3 linked regions of the Bombyx mori genome follow. The protein of the gene in region 1 binds, or shares a complex with, the protein of each later gene. Links are inferred from orthologs where the notes say so. Each region holds a gene or a part of one and is shown on either strand. Other genes may lie near its edges. The genes, in order: actin-related protein 3, actin related protein 2/3 complex subunit 4 and actin-related protein 2/3 complex subunit 2.

Region 1 (3,544 bases):
CCGTCGCTCATGGACTTCAGCAATGCCAGGGGCAGAGCCAAGCCGCTGCCAACCATTGCGTACTCTCCGCAAGCCTCGTTTGAAGAAGGACAAGTTATAGCGCTCGGGAAACACCGTGGAGGAGAACTCATTCGAAAGCCGGATGGGACGTGGCAAAAAAGATTTCTCGTTTTTTTTTATTGCTTAGAGGGTGGACGAGCTCACAGTCCACCTGGTGTTAAGTGGTTACGGGAGCCCATAGACATCTACAACGTAAATGCGTCACCCACCTTGAGATATAAGTTCTAAGGTCTCAAGTACCTATAGTTACAACGGCTGCCCTATCCTTCAAACCGAAACGCATTACTGCTTCACGGTAGAAATAGGCAGGGTGGTGGTACCTACCCGCGCGGACTCAAGAGGTCCTACCAACAGTAATTACGCAAATTATAATTTTGCGGGTTTGATTTTTATTACACGATGTTATTCCTTCACCGTGGAAGTCAATCGTGAACATTTGTTGAGTACGTATTTCATTCGAAAAATTGGTACCCCCGCCTGCGGGATTCGGTGATGGAATCATCTCAAACAATTCCTCAGATTATTAATTAATAACATTATTCTATTAGAAATTAGCAGTATTTTTTTGGTATATTTAATTTTATAATTAAGTACCATTTAAGTGTTTCTAGAATCATAGCTTATTGACAGTGCGTTTCCAGAAATTTCTTTTTCAATCCAATATCCGACTTTGAAATGAAATTCCCTCCGCAACTTTTCTTGAGCATTGTGACATATCTTTCTTCCAAGTAAGTTTATAGCGAATGCTACTACTAAAAACTAAATAATAACAATAAGAATGCATTAAATGAACTTCTTTTTGTTTTTAGGTATCTAACTCAAAAGTTTCAAGTCCTTATTAAATTAAATTAAAATGGTATCAGGCTTTTCAGACTAAACCTTGAATTGTGATTGTATAGAAACTCTTTTTTTATTAGTGAAAGTGTACAGGAGTGGCGGATTGAAACAAAATCACCGGACGTCGCTTGGTGCTTTGTCAGATTCTTCCATAATGTCCAAATAAATCTCAGTTTTTTTTGGATTTTACTAGGAGGTGATTTGAATAAAACATTTATTTGGGGAAGGATTGTTTAGGTTATGTTTCCTTAATCTATTCATTAAATAAAAAAATTGAGACGTCAATTTAGTCTGCTGACATTTCATGACTGTCATACATAAGGCAAAACTGACTAATTCGTAGATATTTGACTGATTTTGCCTATCTTACTTACCGCACCCTATTTATTATTTTATATCTATATAGTTGAATAATAAACTTTAAATAATAAAAATGGGAGACCATTTACCAGCTTGTGTTATCGATGTCGGCACCGGGTATACTAAACTGGGTTTTGCCGGTAACAAGGAACCACAGTTTATTATTCCATCAACCATAGCGATAAAAGAAACTGCAAAAGTTGGCGATCAGAGTACTCGGAGGATGACTAAGGCTGTCGAAGATTTGGATTTTTTCATCGGTGATGAAGCTTTTGAAGCCACAGGATACTCTGTAAAGTATCCTGTGCGCCACGGTATCGTAGAAGACTGGGATTTAATGGAAAGGTACATCGAACAGTGCGTGTTTAAGTATCTCCGTGCGGAACCCGAAGATCATCATTTCTTAATGACCGAGCCTCCGCTCAACACTCCAGAAAACAGAGAATATTTAGCCGAAATCATGTTTGAGTCATTTAATGTGCCAGGCCTTTACATTGCTGTACAAGCCGTTCTTGCTTTGGCTGCGTCATGGAAGTCACGTACGTCTGCTGAACGCACCTTCACTGGCATCGTAGTAGACAGCGGAGATGGCGTTACTCACATTGTTCCAGTTGCAGAAGGATATGTTATTGGATCATGTATAAAACACATCCCTATTGCTGGTAGAAACATTACTTCATTTATTCAATCATTACTCCGTGAAAGAGAGGTTGGAATCCCTCCTGAGCAAAGTTTGGAAACTGCCAAAGCTATTAAAGAAAAATACAGTTATATCTGTCCTGACATTGCTAAAGAATTTGCAAAATACGATAGCGATCCTGGTAAATGGATGAAAAAGTACACAGGGATCAATGCTATCACTAAAAACCCATTTACAGTCGATGTTGGCTACGAGCGATTCTTAGGACCTGAGATTTTCTTCCATCCTGAATTTTCAAATGCTGATTTCACTGTACCTTTGAATGAGATGGTTGATGAAGTGATTCAGTCATGCCCCATTGATGTTAGACGAGGATTGTATGGAAACATTGTGTTGTCTGGTGGCTCGACTATGTTCCGTGACTTTGGCAGAAGGTTACAACGTGATATCAAGAGGGCTGTTGATGCAAGATTGAAGCTTTCGACTATGTTATCTGAAGGTCGGATTACCCCTAAACCGATTGATGTACAAGTTGTGTCTCATAACATGCAGAGATATGCTGTGTGGTTCGGAGGCAGTATGCTTGCATCAACACCAGAGTTCTACCAAGTCTGCCATACTAAACAGGCATACATGGAGTATGGTCCTAGTATTTGCAGACACAACCCTGTTTTTGGTACCATGACATAAACAACCTTCCAGTATTAAATTACTAATGATGTCTACTTAGACTGTCGTATAAAATAATGAATTTGTAGAAGAAAATAATTATGTATAATATGAATATTGTTTTAATAATGACATAGATGCACACAATCCTCTCTTAAAACTTTTAATTTAGATTTATATTTTTATTATTATCAAACATGTCATAAATATATGGAATGTGTATTTTAATATATATACTTACAGAATATACTTTATGTAGCTGGATTTAAAATGTACAATATTAAGCATTTAACATTTGCATTCCAGCCTTTTATTGAAAAATAAATTCTTGTAAATTATATTATTAGTTTTATTAACCTTTATATGCATAAATTTGCAATTGCAAAAGTCGTACTTAACCTTTGGCAGTAATTTGGTGTGGTAATCGAAGTAAAATGTTTAATTTATAGACATAGGTAAACTAGTATCTTTGGAGGCTGAACATTTAAAATAAAAGTAAAGTATTGACAATTGTCCATAACGAGTCATTACCATAATTAAATTTGCAGGGATAAATTCCTCTTATACCAATTTTGATGCCACCATAGGCCCCATTATATTCCCTATGTTTGGCCAGTGCAGTGTCAAATCCCTAATTGTTAAAGATCACTAAACTTATGTATTTTCTTATAGAAAACATTATTAAATATTAGGATGTCTCTTATTTGAGAATGTATCTGATTATAGAAATCTTACGAAAACGAGGACTGCATAAATTAAGGATAGTTTTTGTTGCTGTAGATGGCTAGATGAACTCAAGCTGTTAAGGGATCAGTGTGCTTAGTGCGAGTTTTTTAACGATCTCGATAGCGTAAAAGTTAGCTCATATTTGTATGGAATGGGATCGTTTGCACACGTTTGCCGTTAGGGGCGCTGTTCCAATTGCATACAAAATTGGGCTTACTTTTACGCTATCGGGAACGTTAAAAAACTCGCACT
Region 2 (3,015 bases), on another chromosome or scaffold:
TTTTACCCATGAAAGCAGACAATCATGCTATCGACAAACAGTCTATGGTGGAATGTGGACATTGACAATTCAAGGAGCAAAATCAACATGCTGTCTTTGTCAAAAGGTATTACACTAAAGAACTTAAAGGGCTCCCAGTAGTATAATAATAGTCATAGATAGGACACTCAGCACATAGCACAATAGAATATGTCAACAAAGCCCCAATAATTATTAACATGTTGACTGCCATGTAAATCACCGGTGCCCTACGCGGCACACTGACGTAATAATGACGATTTTTCTCTTTGATCTACATATTAAAGTGCCGGAATATCTAGTAGAGTCTGGAAATGACTAATTCACAGGTACTAAGAATAAATCTATCTTTTAGAAGACCTAAAAGTCTAAAATATACATTAACAAACAAAAGAAGGCAAAGTTAGGTAATCCAGGCGTGTAGTAACAGAAATCAACGTAATTATTTCAGTGCGCCGCTTAGGGCACCAGTGACCTGCATTAAATTTTATATCTGTATGCAATGTATTTTCCCTGACCTCTATCTAAATAACGTAATATTTTTAATAGTTCAATTGTAGCCTGTAAGCACCTACCCATCTGTGCTTACCTGGAATAGGCCTTTAGGCTATCAAAGAATAAGTTCAGAAAAAATCTAGTTTCTTCTACAATTACATATTTAAATGTCATTTTTGTAATGATACAATTTATTTGTCTATGAAGGTTATATGAATTCCATCACTAATTAAAATTACATAGCCATCAAAGCAACAAATTTTTCACATGAATTCATACTCTATGTACAATAAAGATGTTTCATTCTATCACTGAAAGAAGTAGTTAAAATCTCTTCAAGAATTCTTCCGAACAAATTCTGGCTCTTGCATTGACAGCCAATTTCATTTCACTGATTTCTTTATCAATTTCTTCCATAAAGTATATTACAAAATCGACCAATTTATGCTTATACATCTGTTCGGTATGGAAGTTAGTAATCAAAAAGCTGATATGGTACCCATCAACTGGTTTCCTCCTTAATACAATGAAGTTTTCAGCTCTCATCATCATGAACCGCATAAATTTTTTACAAAGAATTTTCTCTATCTCATCCGCCTGCTTGATCATAATACTCACCCTAATTGAATTTATTGAAGACTCTATTAATACTTTTTCATTAGAATTTCTTGAAATAACAACAGGATTGAGTAAAAGTTCTTTGCTTGTTCTAACTTCGACCTCCGGCTTGGTGTATTTCTCGACAACTTGCGATGAAAAGTGTTCTAAGCACATAGCGGCAGTGAGCGTGTGACGCACCGCTGTTAGATACGGTTTTAAAGTTGCAGCCATTGTAGAAAATTAAACTTTCGCAAAGATCACGCCACACCTTAAGTTCCTTTCAATTTTTTAGTCATGAATTATCACCATTGATGACAGATTTGACATAAGCATCATTGTTTGATTCGTTCATTACATAGCCAAAGGTAAGGTAGGCCATACAGTCAAATCCAAGTGTGTTGTTGTGTGAAAATGTACTAAATAAAATTAAATGATTATTAAGGAATTGAATCTGAGGTAAGATAAGGTAAAATTGTAGGTATTGGATGAGAAATAATGAAATAACATCTCAGTAAAGTGGAGAGAATTTACTAAAATCTCTTAAATGCAGGGGGGTGCAACTCCCATACAAAGGAAAATAACATACAACTAGCGTCATCTTACTCCTGTGGCGACGTCATTTTTGTAACTTTTAGGCATTAATGATCTAATAAACTCACTAGATGGCATATATGAGTTCTGACTCAATAAAAAATGTAGCGTACTTTGAAGCAGTGCTTCCACTTTTAGGGAATTCTCCCTTTTTTAGGGAAAAATAGCTGATATTTTGGATGATAAAGACAATTTAAAAAATACCAGGATTTAGGATATTTCGGGGTAAAAAGCAAAGCCTATACTAGTAACTGTTGTGAATTTTAAAATAAACGATAATTAAAGTAAAACAATGAACATTTTATTTTATGGAGAGAGAATGACATTAAGTCGAGTTGACAAGTAAAAGAATAAAACAGAGTTGTGTATAAAAACTATAAAGGTTTGATTCAACAGTAACCTTCTAGTAAAGTAAATCATAGATTAAGCCACTGCTTTTTCTTAGGGATTCCCCAGAATCCCAATAAGTATAATCCGCCAAATTTTTATTTACCTATTTTCGTTGATGTCACCAGAACTTACTTGTATTGTAATATACAGGTACTTCATGTACCATGAAAGATTATCATGGTAATTTCATTTACGAAACCTTGTAATTGTCATTTCACTTTTGCTAGCAGTTCCTTCTTCAAAGACTGAGGTGGAAAGATTATTCAGTGTTCTCAAATTTAAAAACTGACAAAAGAAACAGGCTTTCTAATGAAACCCTGAACGGCTTGCTTCATAGAAAGTTCCCAACTTTGCCAGCAAACAATTGCTCAATTTTAGAACCGAACAGTGTTAGGTTGTGCAGCAAAAGAATATAAAAGCAATGCGTCGACTTCCTTGAAAATTCTAATCCTATAGATCTATGATCTTCTGGGGGCGTTTATATTATATATACCTACATTAAATAATATGCTGTGGTTTATTTTCTGTATTTTATTTACGCTTTCTATATAAAGGATTTATGAAAGTTGTCTAGGAAATTTTAGGGTAAATTCAAAAGAAACTAGGGTAAAATGTGTTAAAAAAAACGTAAGTGGAAACACTGCTTTGAAGTTTTCAAAATTCCAGGGCCGTAAAACAATCTCAAAAAAAAAAAAAGTTTTCAAAATGTCGTAACGATTTAATTTTTTAAATCGTTTTTTTTTGGTCTTGGTGTGAGTTATTTTACGTTGTAGTATTAATTTAGAGCAACTTTTAGCTTTATGAGAATATTAGACGATTAGACATTGAGAAACTCTGTTTTGAATTCTCTTTAGACATAACTTGGCTCCAATACTTTTTTCTTCGTTAGCGTTTCGTAAGCCTGTGTAACTATTTTCATTT
Region 3 (4,249 bases), on another chromosome or scaffold:
TCTTCTTTTCTTTTTTGTTCCATTTTTTTAAAGCAAATTGTAATTAGGTATAATTGTCACAAAAATAAATCTGACACAACAATCACTATCCAAAGTATTGCTAAAATAAGCAACCTAAGAAATTAAATGAACCAAATAAAGAAGCACCAGGTGACGATGTTAGAAAACAAACCAAAACAAACGGTATTACTGACCATAGATTATTTTTTTGGTACAACTTTTCCTTATTAGGAAAGGCAAGGGAATCTAAGCCCAGCCTTGTCTGTTCTATTGACCATAGATAATATACCTATCCATAGATTATACACTTAGTATATTTGAGATAACTACCTACAGATACGAAAGAACGAAAAATAGTTGACAAGACAGCAGCCAGAATCATGGAGTTAATAAGTAGAATACAGTAGAATATGGCCAGAATACATATTTTTTCTTTGATTCGTTCAATGAATGGGCAAAGGGAAAATAACTCATACAAGTCAAGTAGTGTGTTTGGATAATTTTTTATTTTTTTTTAACCTTGCCTATGCTGATAGTCTTGAGAGGCTATTTCAGCTTCGCCCTAACGTTTGTAGGCGAGCTCGCGGGGCTCAACCGGAGAGTTGCTAGCACTGACCCTAGCAAGAGCAGTGCTTCGCAGAATCTACCACCGGATCGGAAACGCGACCCACTGAGAAGATCCGGCGAGAAACTCAGTGGGCTTGGAAAAATTAGTAATTTGAATAATTAACATTTTACCAAAAGCCGAATGGTGCTAAAGGAAAATATACTCTTTGATGTAAAATCTTAATGAAATGAAAGGAATCAGGTGAAATGAAATGCTGTCCACAACCTCTCAGTATAATGATAATTCTTTTTGAGAGTTCAATAGACTTCTTTTTTAAGAAGGAAGGATTACTTGCGGCCAGTTACCTTTTTAGTTTCACCAAAAGATCTGAGTGAGTACGGACTCAGCCAGGAAGAGTGGAGTTTGTTACCAGCTGCCCGAGCAGCAGTAATTCGCTGAATCTACCACTAAATCAGAAGTGCCACACACTGAGAAGATCCAGCAAGAAACTCAATGGGGCTAAAGGAGATAAAAAGTATGTTGCTGAATCTTGATAACTTCACTCTGCTTTTAGGCGTAGTTTTCAGTTAAGACAAAAAAGACCCATATTCTGGTTTTTGACATAACCGACGTAAAGGTTAAGTTTTTACCACACAAGCACACTTTTTTTTATGATGTTTAATATTTTTCTCAAACAATTCATCAAAAAATAATAAAATATAGGAAAAAGTAGTAACAAAAGGACTGCAATAATTTACGAGTTCAAAAAAATCAATGACATGTCATTATATTCCTAAGAATTTAGGCTGATGTAAGCTTCGCTTGCATCGTGAATTTTTTATTAAAAATTGTTTATATGTATGTATATTGTCTTCATTTTGTAGATAATTGTCATTTTAGTTTCCACTAAAATCTAAGAACTTTTTAAGCTCTCGTTCATATATTCAATTTACACTCTATGGTTGCTTGTCGAATTTCATTAAATTTTTTCGTTTCTTTTCTCTGTCGTTTTTGGTTGTCTATACGCACGGGCGGTCATCGTAAAAATTCTTACTTAAAAAAATTAAATGAAGGTGCTCTAGGCGTTGATTTTATGAAATATCTGTAGGTTATAAATTGTTGAATAATGATCTTACTCGAGATCAATAATAGAATTATAGAAGAAACACTAACGGTTAAATATAAAAATGCACTGGCGCGGTGAGTACGTTACACTAGAAAGTTACTGTTTTTTTCGTGATTAGAATCAATTTATCGAGTACACTGTTTACGGTAGTTATTTAAATTTTAATAGTCATTATGATGATGACTCCTATAAAGATTGTATCCTGGGCATAACCCCTCCAGGGGAGGACTTGACAAGTGTCAAGATTCACTGGGGGTGGTCCCACGTTGACGGCTGGAGTACAAATACCAAGTGAATTGTGCACTTAGTGTCAGAGAACAGGTATTATTGGAATTAAATTCTAATGTGTCACGGTCACAGTGACGCGTTAGTGCCTATCACGACTTGGATGAGTCATATCGGTTGTTTATAAGTGCCACATATTTTTGTCTGCGGAAATATCCCATATAAAGGCTTAGAATTCCAATGACCATATTGCCCGTAAACAATGCACCGAAACTGATACCAAATGTCGCTACTAAGAGGATATGACTAATTTATTCAATAAATAAGTGTTTATTTTTATCCCCTTCTGTTTTCAGCTTAAAGCCTGAGTCAATAGATGTTACTGTAGCTGATTTTGATGGAGTATTATTCCATATATCCAATGTCAATGGAGACAAAACCAAAGTTAGGGTATGTATGACTTGATAAGTGATAGTTAAATCAAAGAAACTCAATACAATGATGTCATATTAACTAGTAATGTGTAGTTTTATGTTTAAAATTGTTTTGTTATTGGTTTGAATAAAAATGTCAATAAAACATATAAACACAAAACATAAATCTAGCAATTAAAAATGTAAAAATCAGTAGCTGAATGAGGTGAGAAAATAGGTTTGTTATTTGAAAAATTTGGAAAAACACCTGGAGGAAATGTTGCTAAACCTAAAAAAAATTCTATGAAGAATAAATAGAATTATGTTTAAAATTAAATATCAACAGACCTTCAAGCTTAGACTCATAAAATGTACATAATTACAAAAATATTATTTTAGGTTAGTATATCTTTGAAGTTCTACAAGCAATTAGAAGAACATGGAGCAGATGAGCTCCTCAAGAGGGTGTATGGACCCCTTCTTACTGAACCAGAGTCAGGTAATTACACAAAGATATTTAAATTTTGTTTTTTTCCTTATAATGGAAGAGATGTGGAGAATATATATATTTTTTATTGCCCTTGTAGGCAAACCAGCTTACGGCCGACCTAATGGTGAGTGGTTACCGTTGCCCATGGACTTCAGCAATGCCAGGGGCAGAGCCAAGTTGCTGCCTACTACTTAATTCTCCCACAAGCCTCGTTTGAAGGAGGACATGTCATAAAGTTCGGGAAACACGTTGATATTATGGTTTATCTGATGGTATCAGTTACTAAGAGTTCAAACTTATCACAACATGAATGATGTGCCCTGCCTTGAGGTATAGTCTAAATCTAAATTATATTAAAATAATGGGTATCCTATCCATGAAACAGAAACGCATAATAGCAACAGCAATGGGATGAAAAGCAATACTAACCTGTAAGGGTAGAGGTTTTTATATCACCAGTACTCTCAATGGGGGAGATTAAATAAGGGGACAGTTAATTAAGAATTTAGCTGAAGATTCTACCACTACAGATTGATGCTGAAGAAGTATTGGAAGTATTGTTTATTAATATATATTTATACACAACTGGATAATCTATTAGCAGTTTTGTTTATGCTGTGGTTGAAATTTTACTAAAATTACTGAAACCTCAGTGTTATTTTGTTTTTTTAAATATTTATTTTCTTTGTTTATTGAAATTTAGAGAAAAACAATTGATAATTTCTAAATTATGTTGATAAGGTTAATATTATTTTGTTGCACCTACCACTATTTTCTCGGCACTACCTTTGGTTGTCTGGTAGAGAATGCCTTAGGCATTAAGTCTCCCATTGTAAATTTTACATGAAGTGTAATAAATAAGTAAATTATTCAGTCTATCGCCAATTAAAAAAAACAGATTGACAACCAGAGATGACAAAGGTACTGAATTCCTTATTTATATTTAGATTATATAACATCACTTGGACTTATTCTACCTTATTTTCCTTAATTTGATATGTACTCATTAGTTGTTTTTGAAGGCCTAGCTGGCATTTAAAGTAAATTAATTTGTATTACATTAAAAACAGGAAATATGTATTTTATCTAAATTTATAGGAGAACATTTTTACAAGTATTTATTTGAATGAATCACATTACTGAAAAGGTGTTTTGAGTCTCCATACATTGGTAACTGTTATGCCTATTTCTACTGAAAAATATCTGGGATCTACCAAGATTTCTAGGCTTCAAGTACACGGTACAAATTCCTGTATGCATTTATGTTGTAATGTATAGGCTCCAATAATTACTTAACATTATGGAGCCGTGTATTATTCTTGTCATCTAGACCTTTATCTGCAACCTTGTCAACCAAAAGAGCCAAATATAGTATTATTGTATAGCATTTTGTTTTAAATATGTTTACTGAGCCAGATAATAAGTAATATTCCGTGCCTAGACTAAAC

Evidence for each region.
Region 2: actin-related protein 3 (region 1) and actin related protein 2/3 complex subunit 4 share a complex: the UniProt entries of both Caenorhabditis elegans proteins name them as parts of the arp2/3 complex. The link is inferred for Bombyx mori from reciprocal best matches to the Caenorhabditis elegans genes arx-1 and arx-6.
Region 3: actin-related protein 3 (region 1) and actin-related protein 2/3 complex subunit 2 share a complex: the UniProt entries of both Caenorhabditis elegans proteins name them as parts of the arp2/3 complex. The link is inferred for Bombyx mori from reciprocal best matches to the Caenorhabditis elegans genes arx-1 and arx-4.

The regions. Positions count from the first base shown.
Region 1 is NC_085125.1:6,590,109-6,593,652, reverse strand, and holds actin-related protein 3, read left to right. Parts: upstream 1-1,181; 5' UTR 1,182-1,330; coding exon 1,331-2,587; 3' UTR 2,588-2,904; downstream 2,905-3,544. UniProt on the Caenorhabditis elegans protein: Functions as ATP-binding component of the Arp2/3 complex which is involved in regulation of actin polymerization and together with an activating nucleation-promoting factor (NPF) mediates the formation of branched actin networks.
Region 2 is NC_085122.1:8,792,811-8,795,825, forward strand, and holds actin related protein 2/3 complex subunit 4, read right to left. Parts: upstream 1,413-3,015; 5' UTR 1,345-1,412; coding exon 838-1,344; 3' UTR 559-837; downstream 1-558. UniProt on the Caenorhabditis elegans protein: Functions as actin-binding component of the Arp2/3 complex which is involved in regulation of actin polymerization and together with an activating nucleation-promoting factor (NPF) mediates the formation of branched actin networks.
Region 3 is NC_085109.1:10,839,364-10,843,612, forward strand, and holds the start of actin-related protein 2/3 complex subunit 2, read left to right. Parts: upstream 1-1,355; 5' UTR 1,356-1,673; coding exon 1,674-1,747; intron 1,748-2,254; coding exon 2,255-2,348; intron 2,349-2,710; coding exon 2,711-2,810; intron 2,811-4,249. Other genes in the region: ubiA prenyltransferase domain-containing protein 1 homolog, read right to left, coding at 1-23. UniProt on the Caenorhabditis elegans protein: Functions as actin-binding component of the Arp2/3 complex which is involved in regulation of actin polymerization and together with an activating nucleation-promoting factor (NPF) mediates the formation of branched actin networks.